Linked DNA regions of Rhinolophus ferrumequinum. The protein of the gene in region 1 interacts with the protein of each later gene in a biochemical or structural test. Links are inferred from orthologs where the notes say so. Each region holds a gene or a part of one and is shown in the gene's direction. Other genes may lie near its edges.

Region 1 (7,004 bases):
AATGATGGATTTTAAACAGAAAGTAGTCTTGGGCCTCGTGGAAATTAAGCTCTCTTTCCTGTTACAGGAGTGAAAGCTTAAATCAGGGAACCTGAGACCTTAGCTCTCTTGTACGTCATCCATGCTACCTCCAGGGAAGTCCTTACGTGTTTCTCTTTGGGAGAAGGGAGGGGCAGGCAATCCTGGCCTTCACGTGGGTCAGATTCAGCTTCGTGGAACCAGTTAATGACAGAAGCCAAGTTCTGTCTTTGCATGCCCATGGGAACGCACTTTCCTAACCACCCACAGCTCACCACCCATTCCTTCTTCCTTCCCCAAAACTACACAAGAGCTTCTCTGTACCTCCTTCCCAGAACCAGAGATGCCAAGATCATAGCCCTGACCCTAGGAAGTGGAGCTAAGGATGAAAATATATCTTTGTGTTTGAGAGGTACTAGGAAAATGAGAAATGCAGAATTTGGGGTGCAGATAAAGTTACAGATCCAGCTCCCTCCATTCCCTTGGATGGCTGCTGAATGAATGCTAAATTACACAAGAACTTCGGACAGTAGAGGTTTTTTTTGTTGTTGTTGTTGTTTTTAAATCCTTAGCAGCTAATCTAAAGCTCATTTGTGAGTTTTGAGGACAGAGTTTGTTTGCGTAACTAGAGTCGTAAGTAACGCTGGCAAGCGTACCTGGTCCTGATTTCCAAAACTTGGTCCCTAGAAGGGAGCCATGGGTGCTGATCTCTCCCCAGGGAGCTTAAAGGGACTCCAGGAAGTTCGAGGAGGGGGTAAATGTTGTGATTAAGAGCTTGTCCCCCAAAGTCAGAAAGAACCTCACTTCAAAACCCTGCTCTGCTCCTTCCAGCCACGTGACCTTGAACTGTGACTAAACTTACACGGTGCCGCTTCCTCATCTATGAAATGGGGATGATAGTGGACCCTCGCCCCATAGGTTATGATGAGATAATGCATGTAAATGGTGAGGACACATGTCACCGCTGACCTTTATTGAACACCTATTAAGTAGTCCCTATGACAAACGAAAGGAAGCAAAGGGGAGAGAATCGCACTGTGTCCTCCTCTGAGCTCCTGGGCACCGTATCCGTACATACCTAACAGCGCATCCGTCTTCCTGGTGTATCAGAGATGCGTGTTAGCTCTGCAGGATCTCGGCCTTTTCATCTCAAGTCTCCAGGGTATAGCAGGCCATCTGGTATAGAGGAGGGGCTCAGAACAGTTTGTGGAAGCTAGGAATAAAATAACTCTGGTTTATACTCATTACTAACCAAGGGGCCCCATGCTTCCTGCATTCCCTGGTTTACACGCTGCTGTCCTGAACTGCACTGGAGGCCACCACCACTTTTAGCCACGGCTCTATTCACTGTTCACGGTTCCTCTCTGCTTGGGACTCTGGGGCTCTGAGGTACTTCGGTCCATGTGCATCCTGTACGTGTGCTTCCCCACCATGGTTTCCCCTCTCCCGCTGGGGGCTGATTTCCATTGACAGAAAAACCAACCACAATCTTTGGCCTTCAGGAGAGCGGAGCAGATCTAGGGTAGGAGGACAGAAGGACATGGCGAGCGGCGGGCTGCGTGGCCCCGAGACGCTCCTTACCTGCTACGTTCCCCCTTACAGGAGGAGGAGGCCACCCACCACCATGAGCAGCACGCTGTCACCCACAGACTTCGACAATTTGGAGATCCAGGGCCAGTACAGTGACATCAACAACCGCTGGGACCTGCCTGACTCAGACTGGGACAATGACAGCAGCTCAGCCCGTCTCTTTGAAAGGTCACGCATTAAGGCCCTGGCAGGTGAGATCAGGGGAGGGCCAGGGTAGGTGGTGAGGACACCGGGGACGGGCCCTAGTTGTGAGGACTCCTTTAACTTTGTCGGAAGACCAACTTTCTTTCTAAGCTGCTGCACTCACGTGGGAAATCACCCTATCCAGCCCCTCATCCCCAACGCCAGCCTCAAGAACAGACTTCATGCAATCCAGAACGTCCCCCGGCTTCCTTCCGCCCAGCATAGAGAAGCCATGCTGATCCCGGGACTCAGCTGTGTTCCCCTCTGCACTCAGCTGACTTCTGGCCTCTGTCCCTGAGTCATGTCCTTCATTCTTTGGCACTCTTACTTTTGCCATTCTGTTTCCACCCACCTTTCCTTTGCCGTTCATCCCCTGTGTCTTCCTCGATTTCCGCTGTCATTTCTCACACTTGTTCTCCCTCCCAGCCCATTAGCCTCTCCTTTCCCTCCCCACCTGTTCCTTCCACCTGCCGCCTGTTCCTCCCATTATTTCTTCTACCTGTTCCCTGAAGCGGGTACCCTCCACCCTCCACTGGTTTCTGCAGCTGCCCATTCTCCGGGGTTTGCTCTCTGCCCGGCCCCTGCCCTCCCCTATGGCCTGGGCTCTCCCCTTCAGCTCCTCTGAGCACAAACAAACCCGTTGGACGGGCCTCCCTGCGTTCCGGGAGGAGTTGTCATGGCAACAAGAGTGCAGCTGCCACCTGACACCACCAGGGCTGGTGTGGGACTGAGTCACTCACACACCCCAAGGCCACCCACTCTATCTGACTACCCTCCTCCATCCCACCCTCGTCTTTTCCACTGACCTGCCGGCCTCCCAGTCCAGTCACTGGGAGAGATCCCACTTATTCCCTCCTGAGAGGTGGCACTCCCAGTGTGGGTGGGGTGGCCTCCTGGAAGAAGGGATACACTGAAGGGGGTAGTTCCCAAACCTGGCCACACTTTTTACAGGATCACCCAGGGCCATTTTTATAAACATGGGCTCTGAAGCCCCTTCCTGGACACGCTGAATTAGAATCTTTGGACACGTGGTCCAGAAATCAGTTGGGTTTTTTAAGTTCACCAGGTAATTCTTTTCAGCCAGCCCACCACATGAGGACCCCCATGTGTTGGCCATAGCTTCTAGGGAACCCTACCGTCTTCTCCTGGGCTTCTCTGTCCTTCTGGTTGGGATTAGGCTGGCTTATGAAATACTCATCATAGATGAGAAAAGACAGAAGGCGTGGGTTATGGAGAATGTCATCTCTTTGGGGGGAAGTTTCCCTGGTGCCCTGAGTTTGGATGCATGTAGCCTCTAGAACTGTCATGATGTCTGTGTGCACACGACACGTAAGACCCAGGACTGCTGCTGTGTCTGTGCGCCCTGCGCTGTCAATAGGTGTTTATCTTCAAGAATGGGGTTCTCTGAAGAGGCATCTCTGTGCTGGCTTTGTCTCATGCTGGGCCTTACACCAGTAGGTGTGAGTGAATGAAAACAGGAGATGGGCAACAGTAGGCTGTAAAGGACAAGAGCTGGAGCCCAGAGAGAAGCAGGAGGGGAATTGGATAGATGTGCCCAGCAGTGGGTGTGCTGGGGGCCTGAGATGGCCTGGCTGGGGAGGGCCTAGTGGGCCCAGTGGCAGGGAAGGGGCGGGCCTGGAGGTGCTGACAAACGGTGGGAGGGATAACAAACACCCATTTCACAGATAAGGGGACCTAAGCAATTTCTCTTTCTCTGCTCTCCGAACTGGGGATCAAAGCCCATGTCCAAAAGAGGGGTCTCCCGGAGTCACCCAGAGAGGAGCCATCCTTGTCGCTCCTGGAAGCCTTTGGGAAGCAGGACTTTGTTTTGGGGAAACCTCTCTTGGCTTTACTGTACTCTTAGGCAACTTAGAGCCTGATGGGCAGGTCTCAGAGGCGCTTGCAGTTGCCTCCTCTGCCCCCGCAGGGCCTGGCCCTGCCCCAGCCGGCCGGGCTCCGCCTCCCACCCCTCCCCCGGCACTGTCCAACCTGTTTGTCTGGAGCTGCCTCTGTCTCCTCTCCACAGCCAGGTGTGCCCTGCTACTTGTCCCGGAGCTCAGGAGCTCAGACGTCCCGTAACTCCTTTTTTCCCACTCCTCGAAACTTCTACCATCTTTGAACCAGCCCCCCACCCGGGACCCCAGCCTCTCAGGATCCCCGGCTCTAGGGGAAGCAGAACCTCCCGCCTGGCCCGGTGTGGGCAGAGCATGGACTCTGGGCCCCAGGCTGTGTAGAAGGCAACAGGTATCATGAATGGGAATGGAGTGAGCAGGGTGCACGGGCACAGCCTGAATGGGGCTGGTGAGTTTTATTATGAGGCTGTGGAAGGGGCTCAGAACCCCGGGGGTCTCCTGCTCTCACCTGCTGCCTTCATCAACCCCGCTCAGTACGCCAGCGTGCTGGATGGACGCTTCAAACAGCTTCAAGGTGAGCTCCGCGGGCAGAGGGGAGTAGAGAGAGGGGGTCTGGGGGTGTGGGAGAGGAGCCAGAGCCAAGATCACAGAGTGGAACATTTGCGTTGGGAGACTGTGTGCCAAGGGAATAGTTATATAAGTAGCCAGAAAATTCATGGATGCTGACAGCATCAGGAAAGGCTTGGACCCACTGGAAGGAACTGTGTGAGAGCGTGAGTGGGTGTGACCGCAAGGCCCTGCTGGGTGCGGTAGAGCGTGTGTGTTGCAGAGAATGCAATGAGCATGGAGGCAGCAGGCAGCGGGCGAGGCTGAGAAAGCAGCGTCTGTGTCGGCAAACCGGGAGGCCTGCCGCGCAGTCTCACTGACATAGTTCACTGTCAGTGGCTTTGGAGAGGAAGGCCTGCTAGGATAGTTGGAGAAGGACAGAAGGGGAGTGAGCCAGGAGGCTGAGGGGCCCAGGGCTTGTTTGTGTCACCCTGGGATTCTGAGTGGGTGTCTAAATGTGTGAGGAGGCAGTATGTGTGGGAACCGGGGAATGTGTCAAAGGGAGTTGGTATAGACAGGCTCAGGTATGTCTGAGCAGGCATGTGTTCACCTGGCACCAATCTGTCAGTGTATTTCTGGGAGTCACTGTGTTTTGCGTGTGTGTTGGGGGAGTCTATGGATGTGTGGAGGCCTTGTGAAGTTATCCTTTGTCTCAGTGCTTGGTTTTGCACACTTGTCTTCTAGCTGCCACTGTTGCCATGTCTTCCCCTTTTATTCTACCTGTGTGCCAAAATGACCTCACCCCCGTGTGCCTGGCATCAATCAGGACAGTCCCCAGGGATCCAGGAAATCCCTGAAAGGAGGCCCAAAGGCACCCTTGGTTCCGCAGGTGCTGCAGAGCAACAGGCCGTCCCGTACAGTTGCTAGGACCCTGAGTTGGCCCGGGTTCAGAGGTTGGAGGTAAAGACAGGACTAGACCTGGGTGTGTCACTATGTTTCGTGGGTGAGGTTCGTAGGAATGTGAGATTAAGGGATGAGTCTTTTCGGTTTCTGAGATGCTGGTGCTACAAAGGAAACAAAAGTGACTCTCCGGGCCCTGACTACTGGGACCGGCTCCTTGCTCTGGGCTCCTCTGGGGAGAACTGGCAGAAATCTTGGTGACCAGAGCAGCGTCCAATGGCCTAAGCCTCTTCCCTCACTTTGTCATTCATAACATTTTTAATTTTTCTTTTCCTCTGGAACCTAAGAGCATCCCTTCAGCAGCGGATCCCCCTGTGGACAAGGCAACAGGACGTTCCCTCATGTTTTTTGAGATGATTGGCACCTAATTCTGCCCCACCCCTACCACACACCCCGTTTCTTGGGCTCACTCTTTTCCCTGTTCCCAACTTCAAGACCTGGTTTTAGTTCTCAGCGTTGGAATGTAGCTGTCCTGGGATGCACCCTGAAGCCCACTGAATGAACCCACCCGAGAAAAGCCCATCTTTTCTATAAATTATCCCGGGAGAATAAGCTGACTCAGGTGGCCTGCAGCCTCTATAATATCGCATCCTTCCATTGGCCACTTGGAAGAGCTGCTGCGTAATTTAAGTCCACACCCTCCCCTTTGGAGAAGAGCCATACCACTGGCTGGGCCTGAGTGACTCTCGCTCTTTCCTTGGGGTTAGATCATACCTGAAGAACAGAAAGCCACCGAGGAGCCATTTCATGCCAGACATTATACACGCATGTCTCATTTAATCAATACAATGACGCACTGAAGAAGAAAGTAATAGGCCCATTTTATAGATGAGGAACGTGAGGTGCTGATGGATGAAGTCACAGCATTTCACCACTATCGTGACAGCACCCTCATCCCAAATCCCAGCCCTTCCTTGCATGTTCCACCGCTTCTAATTTCTTCCATTCTTTCTTCTTAAAACCTGTTTCTCGCTCTCATTTTGTTCTGTACCTTGTTTGTGAGCTTATTCTAAGTTCTCTATTTCCCGGCTTTCTAAGTTAGGCATTTTCCTTTTGGCCATCTTCCTTCCCCCTTCTCCTCCCCAGACCTCACTTCAGACTCTCAGATACCCCCCAACCCCACCAACTGGTGTTCAGATGCAAACACTGTACTTGAAGGACAGAAATAACTCCATGTTGCCACCACAGATGAGCGAGAAGCCGTGCAGAAGAAAACTTTCACCAAGTGGGTGAACTCACACCTGGCCCGGGTGACATGTCGGGTGGGAGACCTGTACAGCGACCTCCGGGATGGACGTAACCTGCTGAGGCTCCTCGAGGTGCTCTCGGGAGAGACACTGGTGAGCTGTGGTCACGAGGAACGGGGTAGCCTGAGGAACAGTGGTCAAGAGGACATGCCACGGGACAGAAGAGTGATACCGCAGAGCGGAAAGCAGCGGCTGCCCCCTGCTCAGAGGACAGTGTCATTTTGAGAGGTTTTGCTGTGGGATTAAACGGGAACATTGCTTCATGGAGACAGGAACAGTAGTCCCATTGAAAACATTTCTTTTCCCACCCACTCTTTGAGCAATTAATTCCCTTGGGAATCTTAATCTGGCCTCAGCCTCCTCTGCAACCTCAGCTTTGGCTCTGTGAACTTGGGCCCAACCCTGGGGCTGTCCCCGTGTTCCTGAGGGAGAGGCTGGGGAAGGTGTGCGAAGCAGGGCCCTGGGGGTGTAGGAGGGAAGGAGGAAGGAGGAGGCCCACGGTCCCATGCCTTTGTGTCCCCTGTCCCCCAACAGCCAAAGCCCACAAAGGGCCGCATGCGTATACACTGCCTGGAGAATGTGGACAAGGCCCTGCAGTTCCTAAAGG
Region 2 (7,966 bases), on another chromosome or scaffold:
GTGATCCCAGCAAGCATGCCAGTGCCACACAATTTAAACACTATTTAAAACCAGTAGGTCTGGTTTCATCCTCTTTTGTCAGGATATTATTTGCCTTTGTAGAAATCCTTATTCTCTGCTAGGAAAGCTAAGTTATTTATAGAACATGTAAGAAAGTCACTACAAATAGCTTAGGGACAAATCTCCATATCTTTCTTTAACTTTGATTTTGCAAAATCAATTGACTAATCCCACAACCAGTCAGATTTAGGGAGGTTTGTCGGGGGAGGGAGGAAAGAAAAGGGTAGCTATCCCTGGAAGTACCCCATGATAGCTGCAGAACCCCAGAATAGATGGAAGTGACGACAGGCTCCATATCTGCTCCAGTTTCCTACTGCAAATTCCCAGTCCTGACCCTCCTCCAGCCTTGGTCCATCCAGCAACAAGTGGGAAAACTGCATTCCCCGTTCTGTGCTTCATCTGCCACACTACTGCAGCCCTCTTTCTGGCCAAGTGTCCCAGGAGGTATTGCATCAAGGAGAGAGGTTTTACCTTAAAACTCCAACTGCAGGGAATAACCAAGAATCAGACAAAATCAATCTAGTCTCCAAGTGCAGAGTGTTCTTCTGTTCTACTTACTCAGAGACAGGATGGGTAGGCCATGAGCATGTAGAAAATAATCGTATTGTGCATTTAGAAAAAAGATGTTATCCAAGGACCCAGAGCATCCCTCAACTTCATACCTTGAACACCTGACTTCACTCCCCAAGGCAGTTGCAGGACTGGAGTGACCGCAAGGTACAGGCTCTGCCCCTCTGCGTCCGCTCCCTGCTCACTACAGTCTTGGCTTTTAGCGTCCTTGCTAGCTAGAGGCCACTAGCCAAAGAGCCACCCTTTTGTCACGAGAAAAGGAATACCAAGGTACCCTGGACCACAGCCAGACTCAGGCAGCCTGGGTCCATCATCCTGCCATGAGAACTGAAGAGGCCTTGTGGTATCTCTAACATGAGGGACATCGATGAATTCATTTCAGGATCTTAATTATGCAAACCCCGCCAAACCTTAGAAAGAACTAGTCACTGAGCTGTTCCCTCATATTTTTCGGCGTCTAGGCAGCATTTCTAATTTCACAGAGTGCTGTAAATCGTCGTTATTTGTCATTACATGTTAGTCCATCTAAAGATAAGTCCTGGCTGGTTAACAAGCTTGCAGCAAGAAGGAAAAAAAACAGTTGCCCAAACCAGTCTTAGTCCTTTGCATGTGCTTCAATACCTTTTCCATACAACACTATCCTCCTGGCCACATGGGTGACATAAAAAGTTGCCCAAGTCTGTCAGTGGATTTCTCCTTACACTCAAATGAGGCCTGAACAAACAGCATGGCAGAACCAGGCCCACTTTCCTCATGACACAATCCAATATAGTTCATCACAATACATATTTAAGTATAGAGGTGCGATTTGAATGGGTGATTAAGTTATCAAGAGCTGTGATTCAGTCAGAAGCTCTCTTCAAAAACTTCTCTCAACCAAAGAACAGTTTGCTTGCCAGAAAGAACTGTATCGCTGGCCACACCTCCTCCTGGCTACCAGACAGAGGCAGGTTGCTCCCCATGGCCTACCTAAGGCGCAGGTGGCAGGTCCCCAGGCCCTTCACACTGTCAGCCTCTTTACATGCTCCCGTCTACACCGGGAGCTAGCTGGCCTAAGTCCTATAGCCTAGCTTCTGCCATCTCCGGAGGAAGTAAGATGTTGTCACGGAGGAGACTCAGTTCTAAAGGGAGAGGTAACCAGCAAGGCATCCACTCTTTGCACTTCCCTCTTTGAGTCTATCTGCCCTTTAGGCCACACCGCAAGCAGCTGCCTGAACAGTCTTCCAGGACTCAATGAAGGGAGTCATCTAATACAGTGCCCGCATGAATGTGGTTCTGGACAGATTCAACCAATTCCTCCGTCAACTTTTGGTTGAGAAAGACCACGAAGACAGACCCTTTCCAACAGTCCCCATAACACCAGTTTTGCCCAAAGGTTGCAGGAAGAAATAGGTTGCAAACAGGAATGAGAAACTGAAAAAGACCATTTCTACTCCAAGGGTAGCCCATCTGTAAACAGGTCTGATCTTTAACAACTACTTGGGGGTTACTCTCAGCTTCTCTCAGAAACTGCTTCCTAAATCCTGAAGCTTGTGGCCAGGAAGCTCCTCAACATCTCACTGCCTTCTTTCCTCCCTGTCCAAGTCCCAGGTCTTCAGCATTTACTGTGGTCCCCTTCCATCCTCAGCCAAATCATGGATCTCCCTGACCCTACCTCTGTTCTAGCCAATGTCTTAAAGCAAAGCAGCTGCAGAGGCAGAGGAAGCTCTGCAGGAAAAAAACTGTGCAGAGTAAGCAGAAAGTTTATCAGGAAAAGTTGTTCCGTGAAACTTCAAACCCCAAAGCACCGCACTGATATGATGTCTGAGTTCATTGGGAAAGTATCAAAAGGAGACCTCCTCATCTCTTCACAAGCATAACGCTCACAACTTGCTCTTCTAAACGGCAGGAGAGCCCGAGTCCACAGACCCACCCCTACCCTGTGCAGTCTCATACCCTCGCAGCTCCTCCAGCCGCGCTCCTCCAAAGCCCTCTCATATGCTCCCCAGGCCCCGCCTCGTCTCCCCCATCCCACTTCAGCTGCCCCCCCTTGGCTTCCCCTCGCCCACTAATGACCCCCTACAGGCGCCCCCTCCTTTCACCACGTCTACAGTTCCCACTCTCCTATCTTTCCCCGCTCAGCTCCTACACACTCCCAATTCACTCTATTCTCCTAATTCCAGTTAACCCTTCAACCTCCCCGCCCTCGTTAACCCTTCGCTACCCACAGGCTCCGTTAACCCCTTTGTCCCCATTTACAACTCCTTCCTTCGCAGCAGGAAGCCCTTCATCCAAGTGCTTTAACCATTCTTCTCCTCCTCCTCCGAATATTACTTCGTCCCTGGTGCTTTAACCCTGCCCAGCCTGCCCAGTTGGTGTCCCCGCGCGGCCCAGGGCATACCAGTACTTGACGATAGCTGTAACCTGGAGCGGGTTCGGCTGGTCAGGGTAAAGACGACGGCACTCTCCGTAGATGGCGTGCAGTCCCGGAGGGAACAGCGAGGCGAAGGCCGGAGGTGCAGTCGGGCCAGGGGCCGGGGGCGCGGTGGGGCCGGGGGCGCCGCTAGGCCGCAGCTCCGCCATCCGGGCGCGTAGGGCGCTGGGAGAACCCGGGAGGGCAGACGAGCGGCAGAGCACTGACGCGCCAGCGGGCGAACCTGGAGGGTGCGACTCCCCTAGGCGATGGGGGCTGCAGCGAGGTCTAGGCTTCGCGCCTGCGCACAGCGCACCGTCCGCCCAGGCCGTCGCCGCGGCAGAGATAGCCAGAGGTTGCCTGGGGGGGCCGCTGGACGCTCAAGGAGGCGGGGCACCGGCGCGCCCTATCCCAGATTCTATTGGCTAATGTCTGTGCCAGTCACACGTGGGACTGCGTGCCTTGACAATAGGTCCCGCCTCCCTCTCCCTGTGTTAGGGGTATCCCAAGGCTCTTGGCCTCCCCCTAGTGTTAGGAGGAGCCCAGGTTTAAATACAGATGTGGAGCCATCCTTTTGAGGTGCTAGGGTCCCACATAAGCACTGGGAAGTGCGCTGACGAAGAGCTTATCACTGGTCGGGTGACACGCTAACAAGGATTTAAACATAAGTTTGACAATAGATTAATTCATTCCTCCATTTGGCACTAGTTTAAATAGATTTAAATCTGAATGTTTCCTACACCTTGGAATGTCCACTAATCGTATTGACTGACACCAACACCACCAAACTCAGGGGTCGTATGTCAAAATACCTATTATGGAATTCTGATGGAAAGTAACAAGAGTTTGGTAAACTAGGATCAATTAAAGAAACTTCGTAATTATTTAATAGATGTTAATGACAATCTCTTCTTTGTTGTGTTTTAGGCAGAGATATGCAGATTGTCTTGAGGAACACCAATGTTCATTATCTACTATGGGCCTGCCATTCTCCATTACTTTGACTCTCTGTAACTGGGAGAATTTTTAATTTCTAAGGCACCGGGTTGGGAATTATTTTCTTGTTTACAATAACTTTTCAAAAAGTAATATCTCCCACTCAATGATCTTGAAGAAATTCCAAAAGACGAATAGAAAGGAGTCCAGGCTACCAGTGCTATTGACTACAAGCATCCCTGCAACTTGAAGCAGCGGAGGAAATAATCTAGAGAAAAATGCACTGAAATCATTTGAAAGCAGTGACTTTTCACCTCCATTTTCTCACTCATCAATGTCAATTCTCTACCAATAATTCCAAATGCCAGTCTTCAGACCAGTGTTAGCCTGTTGCAAAGTTTATACCTATCCAGGAAAAAATGCAAAAAGCAATGAAAATGTGTTGTTATTTTTTTCCTAAAAAGCAAATTTTATGCAATTTATTTCCTTTGTTCTGGGAATATGTCCTTCCCCGTATGTGTGTGTATTAAAATTTATTTTATTAGAGTGTGGTGGCCATAGATGTTTATTAATATCTTATGGATCCAGATAAAAACATGGTAGCCTTAATATTGTCCAGAAGTGGTGCGGAGTGGCAGAACTGATCTGTAAAATCCGAACATCTACGAATTACTGATCAATCCAAAGCGAACTACAGACAAGTACTTCAGCATGCACTGCGAATCCCTCCAAAGGGATCCCTACAGATCCAAGCTTGCAATACAACCATCAATCTGAATCCCCGTGTATTTATCTATGGAAACTACAAAGCCCAGGGTACTGTGCGTCGGAAACGCAACACCGGGTAATGGGTCTCTTAAATTAGGCGGGGCTCCGAAACTGCCTTGCCCTCTAACTGCAGGTGCAAGACATCGTGGGGGTTGTAGTTCTTCCGAGGCGAGGTCTGGCCGCTCCCTGGCCGCCCTGCATCAGCGGCTAGACTGCGCATGCGCGTCAGTGGCGCTAGCTGCGGACCCGGCAGGCAGTTCCTTCCTCAGAAGGAGAGATTCCTCTGCCATGGAGTCCTACGATGTGATCGCCAACCAGCCTGTTGTGATCGACAACGTGAGTTTCGTCTTCCATTTCTCTAAAGGGACTCATGCTCTCCTCCCCGAAGGGATCGCTTCCCGGCTTTCAAGCCTGCGCCGCCGGCTCTTTGTCACTGGTCTGGCCTGTCAGGCGGGTTCAACCGCCGCTACCTCCGTCCTTCCTCCACCCATAGACCGCACGCAGGGCGGCCGGCCAGCAACCATGGGATAGAGAACTTGGGAGTGGATTAAGGGAACAGCTGTAGTCCGAGCCGGGTCCTTGGGCCCTTGACTCTTAGGGGCCTTAACCGCTCTGTGAGCGCCCGGCACCCGCCCCTCCCCAGTTTCCGATAACTCTATTGGCTGTTCTGGCTGTCCATCTTGACCGATGACCCCGCCTCTGAGCCTTGCCTGATGAGGGCTGCCCTCTGCAGTGATTGGCTTGCGCCCTTGCCGTTCTTCCGGGCCGTCAAAGCGTTTCTCTTTAAGGGGCGGGGCAGTGCACGAGGACTGTGGGGATTGGCTGTCGGAACTCTCAGTGGTAGGGCCTGATGGGCTAGGGCCGGTCCGCGGGTGGAGAAGGGCTAAGTTTCCTTTGGTCTGGAGCTGGCCGGGTTGCTTGGCGGTGTATCTGGGTGGGGCCCAAGAATGTGGTGTCAGAAATGGCCATCAGATTTCAGTTATTTCTGTGATTGTAAATTATAGCGTTAATAAAGTTCGAGAAGAAGGGAGAGTGACAAAGCAAGCAGGGAGGTACCTTCCTCTTTGGAACGCCTAGTTACTGGGGGGGAAATTTTACCTACATAGTGTTTGCCAGGCTCTCTAGCGCTTATGGAGGGCTTTCACATACTCGTAACCTTCAAGTTGGATCCTCACAAAAACTGGGTACATAGTTAAGGCAGGACGTTTGATGCTCGTTTTACAAATGAGAAAACGAGCGCGAAGAGGTTTCAAACAAGGTCGCACTAAATCCAGTGCTTTATCCGTTATTCCATTCCCCCACGCCAAGCATCAATAGTGATAAATGAAAAGAATCTAAATATTGCTCTTATTTTGCGCGGAAGGAGACAATCGTAAAACAACTGCATTTCTTTCCTCCAAAGGTTTGATCCCACCAAAATTGGTTGATACCTTTTCTGTACCCCTTCTAAATCTCTCCATTGAGGCAAAACTGCCCGTTCCCTCTCTCCTAAGATGACTGTCAGATTTGCTCTGTTGATCCAGCCCTCTTGGACCTTAGGTAAATTGCAAGGTCTTTTCATTTGCATCATCTCTTTTAAGCTCCAGCTCTGGTAGGTAGATGGGAATCATTATCCTCAGTTTATGCAGGAAAGTGAGGCTTGGAGAGGTTAAATAACAGTATTCGAACTACCAGGTTTGTGAGTTGAGGAGCCAAGACTCAAATCGAGATCAGGTTCCAAGTTCCTAACTTTTTTCAAAAAAGGGTGCTTTTTTTTATTGTTAGCTTTCCCTCTCTTCAGGAGTATGGCTTCTGCCTTGAAAAGCAAGAAGTTGAGTTCAATGAGACAAATCATTTTGGAGAGGATTTTGTTTGTTTGTTTGTTTCACTCACTAGACTATTAAATCCTTGTGGGAAAAGATGGTATCCCTTTATTTTTTAATACTTTCCCCTTTCCCACCTCCTTCCACACACCAGAGTACCTATGTTCAGGCATCACTGAGTACTCAGTGTTTTTTCATTGCATTGATGGGTAGGTGGATGAATGACTAAATATCTCTATCACAGTAACAATGATGTCCCTAAATAAAGGATGGGGTGGGGCAGCCTAGTTAGTTACTGCACAGGGTTGAGTAGGACTCCTTGTTCTTGACGTTGATTTTTCAGAAACCACTATTTCTGTCTTCAGCTTGTTTGTGTGTGCTGCATCTGCCTTCTTCATAATTTGAAAAAGAAATTAGCTCCTTTTTTTCATCAGCCATGAAGAAGCAGTGTGTCCATCCCACCAAATCTGCTTCTTGAATTATTGGGCAGAAGTTCAATCTCCCCCTCATTTTCTTTAATATCACTTAGGCTAATGCTTCTTAGTTTCTCCTTTCCCTTTCTTGGTAATGTATTTGAAATTCATTAAGGTAGTGGTGCATTTTCATTGTTAAGGTTTAAAGAATCAACTTGTTTTTTTTCTCTAGGAAAGCATTTCCTTTATTATGCCAATAATTCTGCCAATCGGTGAAGTAGGAGAAACTTAAGTAATTGTCCCATTAGGGTTTACTGAGCATCTGCCACATTTTTATATTTGGGGCCTTCGGTAGTTCTTGCTGTTTGCCATTTAGAGAGTTTGTTTCAAAGTGAAAGGTGGATAAGAAAAATCATTTTAAATATTTGAGGCAATTATATATTGTGAGAATAATGTATCTTAGCAGGTTTAACATCTCCATAGGTTAACATATGGCTACAATTTTGTTTCTGGGCTAAGAAGAGTGTAATTAAAATAAAGGAGAACAAAGAAAGCAGGGAAGAGAGGGAAGAGCCTCGTTATTGAGTTCACAATCTTTCCCAGTATTAAGACAATTGTTGACCACTCCTTTCATCCTATTCTGGCACCAAACCAATTCATCAGAATTTAATGAGAAAAATGGAGGGGAGTGAGGGGGCGGTGTACTTGCCTGTGTTTTAATGACAATAGAGTGATTTTTAAAAACTAAACATAAGTTATTCTTTCCAAAGGCATACAACACAATACAACACAACACGATAATACAAGAGGAGGACAGCTCCGGGAGGACATTTTGTGGACCACCACACTTTGATTAGATTACTATGTTTATTCTAAAGCTCAGGTCTTTGCTAAGATCTCAAAGGTTAAGTTCTGTCCTAAAATGGATCAACATACTTAAAACTGTCTATCTTAAAAGTCTTTGTGACTATGTGAGCCTAAATGCAAGCACAGTATCAGATCTTTACAAGTTCATTAATAAGAGT

The links.
Region 2: the proteins of SPTBN2 (region 1) and ACTR1A form a complex in vitro, tested with the Homo sapiens proteins (2 studies listed by BioGRID). The link is inferred for Rhinolophus ferrumequinum from reciprocal best matches to the Homo sapiens genes SPTBN2 and ACTR1A.

Annotation. Positions count from the first base shown.
Region 1 is NC_046294.1:5,299,816-5,306,819, forward strand, and holds the start of SPTBN2 (spectrin beta chain, non-erythrocytic 2), read left to right. Parts: upstream 1-3,904; 5' UTR 3,905-4,040; coding exon 4,041-4,218; intron 4,219-6,338; coding exon 6,339-6,490; intron 6,491-6,931; coding exon 6,932-7,004. UniProt on the Homo sapiens protein: Probably plays an important role in neuronal membrane skeleton.
Region 2 is NC_046299.1:22,536,023-22,543,988, forward strand, and holds the start of ACTR1A (alpha-centractin), read left to right. Parts: upstream 1-4,908; 5' UTR 4,909-5,014; coding exon 5,015-5,062; intron 5,063-5,080; exon of another isoform or gene 5,081-5,711; intron 5,712-7,966. Other genes in the region: SUFU (suppressor of fused homolog), read right to left, coding at 3,011-3,192. UniProt on the Homo sapiens protein: Part of the ACTR1A/ACTB filament around which the dynactin complex is built. The dynactin multiprotein complex activates the molecular motor dynein for ultra-processive transport along microtubules.